Linked DNA regions of Caenorhabditis elegans. The protein of the gene in region 2 interacts with the protein of the main gene of each other region in a pairwise test. Each region holds a gene or a part of one and is shown on either strand. Other genes may lie near its edges. The genes, in order: Y116A8C.20 and ztf-9.

Region 1 (6,349 bases), on a different chromosome or scaffold from region 2:
AAATTTGAAAAAAAGGTGAGCATTTTTTAATGATCCCTGTTGAATTGTATTGTAGTAATGAAACAGTAATTTTTATTAGTAACTTTTCACTTCAAAGCACAATGAAAGAAAATCAGTTTAAAATCACAGAAAGTAATACAGTCGCAAAATTAACTGAAGCTGACTGCAGAAGAAAAACCAGTTGTCTCAAACTGGATTAATAAGTTAAGAATTACCTTTCCAGATTGCTGATGAAATCAGTGAATTGTTGGAGAATACTACTTCTCACTGTGATTCATTTCCTGCGTTACGGCTGTTTCAAATGGGCTAATGTTTCCATTTTAATTGCTTTGTAGTAATGAAACAGTAATTTTTGTAATTTATATCTCAAAAGCAGAACAAATATTTTGCAAAACATAAAATGAAAGATTACCAACTTAAAAGTGTGCCTTCAAAAATAAGAAATAAATATGAAACAGTTTTTTAACTAGAAACAACTTCACTGTCTTACTGTTACTTATCCGTGAGAAAATGTCAGTCACACACTACGAGATTTAGATATTTAAACGAAATAAAAGTGGGTTTGAAAAGTTTTCTCATTGTGTTTCGAATTTAGAAAAAAAATTTTGAGTTCATTCAGGGATTTGACAATTTTTCAATAATAATGGAGATATCCCAAAAACGAAAGAAAGTTCTACACCCCTTGTTTCACCTTTGAAACTGTACTTCGAATATCTCATAAATATTTTTTCAATAAAAAAATTTCGGTTTCAGAAAATTCATAAGTTTCATTGAATAAATAGAGCGCTGATCATGTTGCTGGTCATCTTTTTTCCAGATGTAACTTTGTATATAACTTTCGTGTACATAAGCAAAGTAAAATGCTTAAAAAACAAACTATGAGAGATCTCTAAAGAATTCTTATTTTTAACTTGATAGTGTCCTATAAATGCAATAAAAGTTAACAAACCTGAATAATCGGTACGTTCGAACCTAATTATTTTAAAAACTTTTTCTGATCTACACCGTTGCTTATCAGAAATTTAAGTGGGATTTGCTTGTAGTTTCCAAAATACTTTTGCAGATGATAGTTATATTCCAAATTACAGCTGAAATAAAGATTGAATGCAGATCAAAATAACCAATAAAATTAAAAAGTAAATACATAGACCCCATGAAACAGAAAAAAATGTGGCTATATTTGCAGCTTTCTAATAGAAATTTTATACGCTCAAAAAGCAGAAATGAGCTAAAAGAATTTCAACAAGATGTGTTAACCTGGGGGTGCGGCAAATTTGCCGAATTTGCCGAGCTCGGCAAAAATTCAGTATTGAGTTATTTTAATATTTAAGCAGACACACTACACGGAACTGATTCAGAAAACAGATGTGTGTTAAAAATTTAGTAGTTTCGGTGCTCCAAAAAACATAAACTGATCGATTGTAATTTGTAAAGCACCATACTTTTCAGCAACATGCAAAGTTTGAGGTATCTTATAGCGTTAGGGATTCGTATTTATTTGAAAAAGTATTGATGAATTATCCACAAGTTTTATTGTTTCCTTTTGAAAAGCTCAATTTTTGCCGAGCACGGCAAATTTCAAAAAAGGAGATTTGCCGAATTGGCCGAGCTCGGCAAATTCGAAAAATTTTCAAATTTTCAACAAAAATATATAGTTCATCCTAATTTCCACATCCTTTCTGTATTTTTAGGGGAACAGTGTATAAGTTTTTTCTCTGTTTCAGGTGTTCAATTTATTTGGTCTTCAGTATGAATGTTTGATATTCAATTCAGTTGGTTTAAGATTTGGACACGATTTTAAAATGCAAGTAGTTGTGGCGGAAAAATAGTGACCAAAAAGCCGTCTTCACAATTGAAACTTTTTCTTGGTCAATGAAATTTTACTTCTACGACGTGCTATCGAACTTGAACCAAAACATTTGTAAACTTTGAAAATTAAATTAAACGCCTGAAACAGAAAAATTTTATGCTCCACCCGTTTTTTTCAAAACTCGTAAGTTCTGAAACTTGACTGACGCAGTGACAGGATGAATTTTGAAAATTATGAGAAGTATTGAAAAATGATAAGTTGAATTTTATTAGTCTGAAAAATAATAAAACAAAAAAAGCCAAATCCAAAAATATGGACATCAGAAAAAAAATATATAAAAAGAGTATAAGATCAAACGGAGAAGAAATTGAAAATTATAAAATCCTCAATTTGAAATATATAAGGAAGTAGTAATTGGTGTTGAATTGTTGGTACAATCAACAGGAAAACTAGTGAAGAAGAGCTGAGCAATGCCAATTGGGCAAGAAACTTGTATAGTCCAGAGCAAATGCACGAGACAGGTCTGATTCAACATTAAGCTTGAAATCCGCCATTTCCGCTGATTCGGTTGTAGAAGTTGAGCCAAGAGCTCTGTGGATGAACTGACACCTGGCTCCGTACTTGCAATACCCGGTTGTCGAGAATTTATCGCAAAGAACTGTTTTATAGTTACGATGAGTTTTCTTTGCCTGTGTGAACCTGAGCTCATGCACACTGTGAGCAAACTTACATTGCTCTCCATAAATACATTTCTGACCTCTTCTTTGAAAACCACACAGAGCTGTCTTGAATGCTTCTTCCTTCTTTTTCAGTCTTTTCATTTCGTCGTGGAGATCGTCAGAAATTGTGCATGAGTCGTATTTTCGTGATTTGTGCTGTTTCATGAGTGGAGAAAACTGATCTCCGTCATAAGATCCTGGAGAAGATGACAGTGAAAGCGATTGAGGAGCAATATTAATAGGAACAGTTCCGTCTGGGAAAGCACATTTCAGAAGGAAACTGGAGAGGGATGTTGTTTGGTTGCTAGATTCCGGAGACATTGTATAAGCAGTTGAGTAGTTGCTGAAAAAATTTATTTGGAAGAAAGAAAACGATAGAAAGATAAAATAATAATAAGAAACAGTAAAAAGAGTGAGAGTCAGAAAATTATTGTGCTAATACAAAAGTTGACTGCAACAAGCAGGTATTATATTCATCATAGTGATCATACCATGTTGCATTATTGAATTGAAAACAGTTTGAAATTTCAGAGAAACCACTTTTTGGAGAATTTAAGCTGATTTAGAAAAGCAGGTCTAAGAAAGTAAGAAAAATGTAACCATTCACGATGAAAGTAAATGAATTGAATGACACAATTGACAGACTGTATTCAGGAAACGGAAGGAACGCTGGAACAGTATCTAATCGATAACATGTATATTTGTTGCAAGCCCCGCCCACTTGCAGGCCACACGCTGTAAAAAGAAGGCGATATGTACAGGGAGGTTTTAGGAATTGGGATGGATGGGATAGTTTTTTGTAATGTAGTTTTTTTTTTGTTGAAAATGAACTTTTGGATACTTGATCCAAAACTCTTTCAAAATAATGTGGAACCCTAAGGGTATGTATGTAATACCTCTTACTCACCTTACCTCTAGCAGAAATATATTGTGAGAAATATTCTACAATTTTTGGAAAATTGTTAATCTTGTTGAAATTTCAATTTGATTATAATTATCTCTATCTAAGTTTTGTGGTTTCTCATTGAGCTAATAAGCGGCTGAAGAGAAGTTTGCAAACAAAGTCAAGTCCCTATTATTTCCTGTTTCATGGAATCTATTTTATAAAACCAAAAGAGCTACTGTGGTCTTAGTACTGTGCTTTGTGGTTTAATTTTTCCACATAAGATTTGACTGAAAATATTTCAAACTAAATCTTTTGAAAGTTAGTAAAGCGGTTATTAATAGTGGTGTCTTGCCAAGTTGCTAAGGAAAAATCGAGCCTGTAAATGGGCGGAGCTTCCCGATCAATAATTGACTCACTACGCTATCGATTGGATCAATTTTCAGCGTTCATGCAGTTGCCTGATGACAGGATGACAATTGTGTCATTCATGCAAACAACTGTCATCCTGAGAAGTTGTTCTTTAGCTTTGCTCTTTTTAGGGATTTTTTTTGTAAAACTTTAGCATATTGTGGATATTTTTTTGTGTTGCTTTTTTACTTTATTTTTGCCTTCAAGTCTTTTTGTCGTTAAAATATAATTTGCGTAATTAATAGTTTTTCCATTCTTTCATTATTCCCATTTTTCAGAAATTATATAAGTTCTTCACAATGTTTGTTCAAACAACCAATCAATCGAATACCCTCTCCAACTTCATTCTGACGTGTGCATTCCCTGCTGGAGCTCCTGTAACCAATTACCCTCCATCCCTTTCACATACATCATCTCCAGGATCTTCCGTATACGAAGCTTCTACGAAAACGGAAGCAGTGCACAAATTGGAGTCATATCAATTACAGGCCAGCAGAGATCCGTGCACAATTCCCGACGAGCTTCGTGAAGAAATGAAGAGAATGAAAAGACAGGAAGGAGCATTCAAGACAGCTCTATGTCTTTCTCACAAACGTGGTAAAACATGCATTTACGGAGAACAATGTAAATTTGCTCACGGTGTTCATGAGCTCAGGTGTCAACAGGCAAAGAAAAACCATCGCAACTACAAAACAGTACTTTGCGATAAATTCACGACAACTGGATATTGCAAGTACGGAATCAGGTGTCAGTTCATCCACAGATCCATGGACGCAACTAATGTAACCAGACCAATAGACACAGCGGATTTCAAGCTTGACGTTCAATCGGACCTCTCTCGTGCATTTGCTCTGGATTCTTCAAGCTTCTTGCCAAATTGGCATTGTTCAGCTCTTCTTAACTAGTTTTCCTGTCGATTGTATCAAAATTTCAAAACCAATTACTATTTCCTTATAGATTTCTAATTGAGGATTTTATATTATTCAATTTCTTCACCATTTTATTTTATACTCTTTTTATATATTCTTTCCTGATGTTCATATTTTTGGATTTGGTTTTTTTTTGGTATATTTATTTTCAGACTAATAAAATGCAATTTTAAATTCTTCAATACTTCTCATAATTTTCAAAATTCTTCCTGTCACTGCGTCAGTCAAGTAACTTACGAGTTTTGAAAAAAAAGTCAGGTTGAACATAAAATTTTTCTGTTTCAGGCGTTTAATTTATTTTTCAAAGTTTACAAATGTTTTGGTTCAAGTTCGATAGCACGTTGTAGAAGTAAAATTTCATTGATCAAGAAAAACTTTCAATTGTGAAGACGGCTTTTTGGCCACTATTTTTCCGCCACAACTACTTGCATTTCAAAAACGTGCTCAAATCTTAAACCTACAGAATTGCATACCAAACATTCATACTGAAGACCAAATAAATTGAACACAACTATTCAGCACTACTCGGCAAATCTCTTGTCCTGGAGCGCGGACGGGGCGCGACTAGATCACGGGTTCGCGCTCCAGTCACCCTTTTTTTCGCGCTCCTTACGCGCCACGTGCGCGCTCCAATCGCGTTTGCTCCGCGCGCATTCCGAATTTGAAAAATTCTTACGAAATTTTATGGGACGCGGTCAGAGCGCCAACGAGGCGCGGAAGGAGCGCGAAAAAACGTGTGACTGGAGCGCGAACTCGTAATCTAGTCGCGCCCCGTCCGCGCTCCAGGAGGAGCGATTTGCGGAGTAGTTCTATTTCTAATCTCTTTTTTTCTCAACCTTATGAACTATTAATATAATTCGTATAATACCTATTTTCATATTTCTTGTAATCTTATCTTGATAATGTTTTCAATTGTTTGATTTCTAATGTGTGGTTTAATAAAATTATTTTTTTCTTAACAATGACATTATCAATCACATTAGTCAGTAAAAATAATTAGTTATTGGAAATTGGTCTTATTGCTGAAATGGTTCTAGATTTCATGCAAATACATTTTTTAAAAAGTTTCTTATAGCGTGGATTAAAGTTTTAGCTACTGTCATGACACAAGTCGTCAGCAATTTTTGTATTGAATGAAAAGTGAAATATTAATTTCAGATTTTAAAATCTGAAGTTAATGTTTTGCTTTTCAAAAGTATTTTAAATATTAACATTCAGACTCAGTTAATGTTTTTAAACTTTTTTATTTGTTCAAATGACTCATTTGAAACAGTAATTAATAGCATGAAAGTTTCCGTCAAAGAACTCATGAAAACAGTAGCTTTTGCTTTTATCGCAAAAATTTGTAATTACACAAAAATGCAAGTTTTACGAGAGTGCTTTACGCAATTCTAATATTTCGAATTCTCTGAGTTATATTAAACTAGAAATAAAAAATATATCAATGATGTAAATTAGAAAAATTCCGTTTCAGGAAGACATATAACTTTTTGTCATTCAGTTACATTTTCTTTTCATTTTTTTTCAATTCTTCCTTTTTTCACTGATATTTTTTTCTAGAATTTTTTCAATTCAATAGATTTTCCAATTTTTACAC
Region 2 (6,972 bases):
TTGAACAATAAACGTTTGTAGACAGTTTTAAAAGCAGAAAATTATCTTGGTCTATATTAATGAGAGAACTCTACAAAAATCAGTATCCAAAATTTAAAAAAAACTTTGGCACAGAAACGAACAAGCAATCGTAATAATCAATTATTACGGAAAGGAATACGAAGAAGCGGCGAGAAATGTGCTGCAATTCGGTTTTGAACGTTTTAGCCGAATTGCAAATAAATTACGCGAGACGAGACCTCCTCCTTTTGCTCCGGCGGCTTGAACGGTGCCCGCAACCTGAACCTAAACAGCCTAAGCACATAAACGGCACGAGAATTGTCTCGTTGAGAATTATGAGACCAGAGGACACAGTTCATATTTATATTTTTAGCGGAGAAAAATTAAATATTCAAGCGAGGAAGGATGATTTTAGAAGGTCAGAAGGGATTGGAGATTTGAATAAACAAATGAAAAGTGTCAGATCACATAGAGACTAACACGTCTGGATTTTAATGTGCTTTTTTTTGGGACGAATACATATTCACAAAAGGAAATAGAAGAAAAATCAGTGAATACAAGTAAAAAAGTGTGAAGAAACTGCCCGGGCGGTTGGCAGAAGAATGAAGATCGATTAGTGTCCGTACTTTTGGAATTCCCACTCACGATTGTCCAATGGGCATACCTGAAAAGATAGAATTAGAAAATGTGTAAGCTTTTTGAAATGCTAGTTACGAGTACTTAGTAATTGAAAAAAATTAAATTTTCAAAAGTTGTTTAACAAAAATGCATGCGGCAGGCTTCTGTTCCGCTTTGACATTTGAATAAATATCATTTTTTCAAAAATAAGCACGTTTAAAAGCAACCTACCTGTCGTGTCTTCAGCCAACGAGAAATGCAATGGAAGTGGAAAGCGTGATTACAGTTTCCCCATGCAACGGTACACTCATCCTTGAGCCCGGCTGCTTGATTCGCTTGGCACTCGATGCACAGATCCATGATGTGATTGCGGCAAATAGCGCAGTTGTCGACCTGAATGTCCCAGGCCCAAAGTGCGACGGCACTCCATTTCTTGACCTTAAATTGCACTATGTTTGTTAAAGCATGTAACATTGTATCTGTGTTACCTCGAAACGCTTCTTAACTGTCTGATTTGTGGCCTCCTCGACCTCCATAGCTGTGCTGTCGCTTGCTTGGGCCATTTCTGGAAAAAATACAAATGAGAATAACAGTAATCATTTCAAAATAAGAGCGCAAAAGTAGCATTGATGATATAATGAAATACTTAATATTGAACATGTTTATGCATACTATAATACTATAAGCCTAAACTAAATAGAGGATATGATTGATAAAATTGTTGTATCAGATTTTATGAAAAATTGTACCCTAGAACAAGTGATTCACGAACCTAATACAACATTGTTGTACAAAGCCGCCGATAGAAAATGAGGAAACATGAAGGACTTGACATTATTGCTAATATGTATTGAAAAAGGAGATACGCTGTTGTAAAATAAATAAAATGAAATCAGACTGAGCAACACTGCCGAAATTCTTTCGAAAGAATCATCAAAAACGCTTGTCTGCACACACCAGACGCTACGCGCATTTGCGTACACCGTACTCACCTATTTTCTGTCTTCACGCTTTCGCTTTCTTTTTAAAATTTACTCGTCGCGTCTTATTTCTTGCCGAAACGAACAAAGAAGAACAGGTTAAAAAGAAAAATTGTATTTAACAAAAATAAACCGTATCAGTTAGTATTTTAACAGTAATTCTAACAATTGGGACGATGAGAAAACAACTTTTAAATCGTTTCAAGATATTTATTCTGGCAAATCCGTGTATCCAATTCTCTTTTTCTTTCGCTCCGGAAAACATTTTTCAGTAATTTCTTTCAGCTTGTTTCCTAGATTTTTTCGATAGTCAATAACCATGTCGCAGTCGATGGTTCCGTCGGGTCTCTCGTGATGGCTTTTTATGTGCTTGATCACATCAGATTTTGCAATTGTCTGCCATTTTCTGTGACAGATTCCGCACTCGTAGAGCTCATATTTTCCGTGACGCGTATTTGCATGATACACCATGCTTGATCTTTGTTTGGAAACAACGTCTCCACAAAGAGAACATTGAATTTGTTGCTTCGGCTTGATCGGACCACCGCCATCAGATGCTCCCTCGAATGAAGGACCGGCTCCACGTTCTTCTTCGTGACGTGCCAGAGTTTCGTCTGAATTAAATCCAAATGAGTGGGAATCATTATTATGTGTAAGTTTACCTAGAAAGGCATGATAAGCATTATCTACGAAGACAACAGGAGAAGATGACTGAATAGGTGTGCCAGTTGCTTCTGAGTTTTCGACTTTGACTCTGTTCTCCACTGTGCTTGACACCGCATCGCTGATTTTCCCTTCAATCCGCATAGATCGACTCATTGCAATGCACCGTTCGAGCTTTTGGGTCAGTTCCTTCTTTTTCATACTCAACTCCGGTGTGTAGCGATATTTTATCTGCAATTTAAATTATTGTTGAATTTTTTTTCTGCGTCTCTCAACATTGGAGACTTACAGAAAATTCGGTGAGTCCATGATCATTCATACAGTGACTGACAAGGGCGAATTCCGTTGGAAACTTAGCGTACTTACATTTTTCGCATCTAAAATAGTAAAGCTACGTTCACCACATATTAAAAGTTAAAGACTTACTCATATGGGCATATGTTAAGATGATCACTAGCAATGTGTGCTTCGAGATCTTCCAGTGTGTTGTAGGCCTCAGTTTGAACGCAATCTAGACATCCCAGTAGTCGGTTCATTTTTTGAATGTAATAAATATATTCTGCAAATTTAGTAATATAGATTTAGAAGCGAACGGTTAACAAAATGTGTTCGAAATCAACTGAAGACGCGTGGAAAAAGGAAAAGAATGGTGAGAAGAAGAAGGAAGGAAAATGGAGAGAAGGGGGTGGTTTTGTGTGTGTGAGGAGGAGAAGAAGGCCGGGCGGGCAATGGCCAGTCTCTTCCTCCTTTCTCCTTCCTTTCTTCTCCTCTTTCTTCTTTTTTCTTCTTCTCATCGCTCGGTTCGCGCTACATTGAAACGGAGAGAGAAAGGGAAAGAGAGAGGACAAAAATGCGACGACTCGTCTTCTTCCTATCTCTTTCTCTCTGCTGTGTGTGTGTGTGTGTTTTTGTGGCGATAGGAAAAAAAGAAAAAGGAGCGGGATGGGCGGAAGAAAAGTGGGAAAAACTGTTGGAAAAATGAAAACGTGAGAGAACAGATATGAGTCAGATTTTTGTGAAAAATAATTAATTTTGAGATAAAAAGTTGATGGTACAAATACCATGACCATGCATGGCAGTCTCTTTTTTGTTGAAATTTTTGTTTAGAAAACTTATTTAAAACCAATTCTTAAGGAATATGCATTTTTTTTAAACACGAAATTCGCTTTAAACAGAGTACTTCCATTGGAAAATGTAAGGGAAATAAACGATAAAGCAGCCGAAGCTACCATAAACTTTTTTGCGCATCGAGACCAGTCCAAATCAATCCATGCGCCTTTAAGAAAGTATGCCAAAATCTTGTAAAATTAAGATACCATTTTTTCCTAGCAAGAATTTCTCGCTTTCTGATAATTAATTTGGTAAAAAATTCTAAAGCTTATCTGAAACCTTTCGTCTTATAATTTTACAGACTCGGTTTATATTTTATTTTGATAATTAAAAAATAATCAAGATTTTTCAGAGAAAAATGAACACACTGCGACGAATATCGACATGTCGATTCACAAGTAATACAGCGTCTTCAACTTCTTTGGAGTCTGCACCGGCTCCACTAAATCCAAAAGTTCAGAAAGCTCTGACTCCTGCCACGTTTTCAAATCCCAATCAGCTGGCTCGATACCTATCGAAAAAGGTTTTGGCTCACGCTCCAGGTCGATTTGTAGTGTTGGAAAAGCCATATGGATTGTCATGTGTTGGACAACTTCAAGAAAATGGTGGAGTATTTGGGAATAGTGTTCGAGATGAGAGAAAAACTGAAAAATGGGCTGGTACAATCAAAGCAAGGACTCAAGAACAAATGGGAGTAACAATTTCCGATTGTATCAAAGATTTGAGAAAGTTGCTCCGTGAGCCTCAGCTCAGTTTCTGTACAGGCTTAAAACGATACTTATCTGGTGCAATTGTTCTTCCATGTAATGAAAAGGATTCCAATATTCTGAAAGAATGTATCAGAAGCACTTCTTCAAATGTCGAACCCCCTTTTATGTATAATGCCTTGTAAGTTTTATCAATTTCTAAAGTTTAATTTTAGTATTTATTATTTTAAAGTTCAGAGCAATCACAATTGGAAGACCTGAAAAGAGCAGTGGAGTCATAACTGGATTTGCCACGTTTCGGAATGTCGGAAAGCACAAAGAGTACATTTTCGAAGAAAGAAAAACAACGAAACGGGCAAAAACTGGAAAATACGCTGTAGAAGGACATATGAGCTATCGAGTACTGGACACAAAAAATGGAATTTCATTGATCGACTTTTCAGTAAATAAATGTAAATTAACCAAAAATCTTCCGAAAAAAATCATCTTGGTATATTTAATTTCAAATTAAAAAGTACGACGACGCTGGGTTTTTAGATAACAAATGTTTGAATACATATTATTTTTGTATTGAATATTATATTTCTTCAGTTGCTCGTCATCTCCCACGACTGATGCTAACTCAGATGTCTTGTCCGATCCTCGGAGACACTATCTACTGGAGACGTTTGGCCGACGTGGATGGAGTTCCTGAACTTATCAGCGCGGGAAACATGGGGCATAGAATTGTAAGTCACCAAAGTTATTTTGTAAAGAAAAAAACTTGAATCTTATTCAATCTTACAATAAGAATTGAACTTTTAAATCTTAAAAAAATGTATATCTTAAATACTATCAAAATCAATCTGTATTGTACTGTTTTACTCCCCATATATTTGCAAAATAAGTTTGACAAAACTGGAAAGTTGCCATGTTTTTCTAAAATGACTATTATTCCAGTTCATCCCACCTCATCTTTGTTCGACGCTCGAAACTTCAAATCGAAGTCTACTCACTTCACTTCCAATTTATTGCCACGTGTACAACACAATTTTCGAAGACGTCGGTGGTCATGAAGCACATGGTCTCGTTGCAGCTGCGAAACCACCGGGTATAAACTTTTTTGATTTGCAAAATCTGAAGCTTCCTATATTTTTAGCTCATTTCATAGCAATGCTCGATCTACTTGGTCTTCGTCATGCTTATAAAGATTTTATGAATAGATCTGAAAAACCTTCAGAAGACTCATCGTCTTCAACATCACGAACATCGGGAGATGTCGTATTTTAGGATCTCAAATTTTATTAGTTCAGTTATTGTAAGAAATCTTGTCAGTTTTTTGTTGTTGTCTGTTGCTCTTTGTTAACTAATAAAACGCAATTTTTCTTGACGTCGCTCTGCCATAAATTTTCAATCATCTTCTCTTCTCTTTCTACTGCTGCCGTTGCACCCTGGGTTTGAAAAATTTCTCTTTCATCCCGTTGCAATGGTTTACGGATTACGGTAGATGTCTCGGTTCAGTTTGAAACGTTAAACAGTGTATTGAAATTACGATTGGCATCGGATTTGAACTTTCAGGTACTGATGGAGACATAATTTGAATAGATATTTCTAGAAATGAAAACCTTGCAGTTGAATATTTGAATTGAAATATTGGATATCAAGAAATTACAACATTTAAAAAAATCAAATCAAAATGGCAAAACATTCAGAGAAATGAGTTTGCTTGTATTACTTGGTTTTAAAGGCGCATGACTCTTTGAGATTACTCTATTGAAAATTTTTGAAACGTGAGAATTTCTAGTTCGCAAATTCGTAATAAATTTGATTAAAAAATATGTTGAATGTATCTAATTCACAGTTGCAATATTTTTTCTTACTATTATTTTCCATTGTATCTGAAAAATTAACAAGTTTCTCATTTTCATTACTACATAGTCATCGTGAAATTTCAAACACTAAATATATTTTTTCCAAGTAATTTTTGATTCCAATTCTTAATTATATTGATGAACAGATAGTTATTTTTGGGCCAGGAAAATAAAATTCAATGTAGCAATATATATTTGCATCAACGGAGCTCAACACCATTATATATCCTTATTTTCCCTGAATTGCCTTTATTGTGCTCGGTTGTAGCTACACTTGTAGACCCACGTCATCTGTCCACACCGCCTACTCGTTTGATCTTCTTTCCCGCGCATTCGATCTCTAAGTCACTCAATCTCCTATGCTATTTTAGTGAATCACGCACATGCAATAGCATTTGCTCACAATTGCAGACACTCAGTTACTGTGAGACAGGCAATATAATGGCCCTTCGGGATATCGAGTGTTGTCTAGAATGAGGTAAGTTGTGAGAAGATAGGAAGACAACGAAGTAAGATAAAGGAATTGTATTTGACTAAAAAATGAAATATCAATTTGATAAAAATATGTTTTGAAACTGTAAATTAATTTAATACATTGTTTTCTTTGACAGATCTTTGCATGTTCAATCAGTTTCTGATCTGAAACTTTCAGCTGAAAAGTATAGACGAATAAATAGTCAAATTTAAGTAAATTGATAATCTTAGATAGACCTAAAAAAGTAAAGTGAACCAATTCACGATTCGGTACGTTTCTGCCATAGAATACAACTCATTTCTTAAAATGATATAGAACAATACTTTAAAGAGTTATTCTAAAGAGTTCTAAGAGTTATTAAGAGATATTACTCTAAAGAGTTACTAAAGAGTATTCAATCTGAACCTTAAAGGAACATTAAAACTGAAGAAGATTATTTTGTTATTCGTTCTATCATTACTACAATCTTGCTCTTTTGATCTCTTGTCTCATGAGTATTTTGGTAGTTCAATCTGACAATTAACAAATTGTTATGCAGGATATTCGCAAATTTGGCAATCCTTATCATA

The links.
Region 1: the proteins of ztf-9 (region 2) and Y116A8C.20 interact in a two-hybrid assay, tested with the Caenorhabditis elegans proteins (one large-scale study listed by BioGRID).

The regions. Positions count from the first base shown.
Region 1 is NC_003282.8:17,036,796-17,043,144, forward strand, and holds Y116A8C.20 (C3H1-type domain-containing protein), read left to right. Parts: upstream 1-4,122; coding exon 4,123-4,728; downstream 4,729-6,349. Other genes in the region: Y116A8C.19 (C3H1-type domain-containing protein), read right to left, coding at 2,260-2,850.
Region 2 is NC_003283.11:9,689,340-9,696,311, forward strand, and holds ztf-9 (C2H2-type domain-containing protein), read right to left. Parts: upstream 2,821-6,972; 5' UTR 2,798-2,820; coding exon 2,688-2,797; intron 2,639-2,687; coding exon 2,551-2,638; intron 2,493-2,550; coding exon 2,261-2,492; intron 2,213-2,260; coding exon 1,809-2,212; 3' UTR 1,700-1,808; downstream 1-1,699. Other genes in the region: rbx-1 (RING-box protein 1), read right to left, coding at 614-664, 850-1,056, 1,107-1,181; ZK287.7 (RNA_ligase domain-containing protein), read left to right, coding at 3,730-4,259, 4,316-4,530, 4,670-4,806, 5,018-5,168, 5,217-5,347.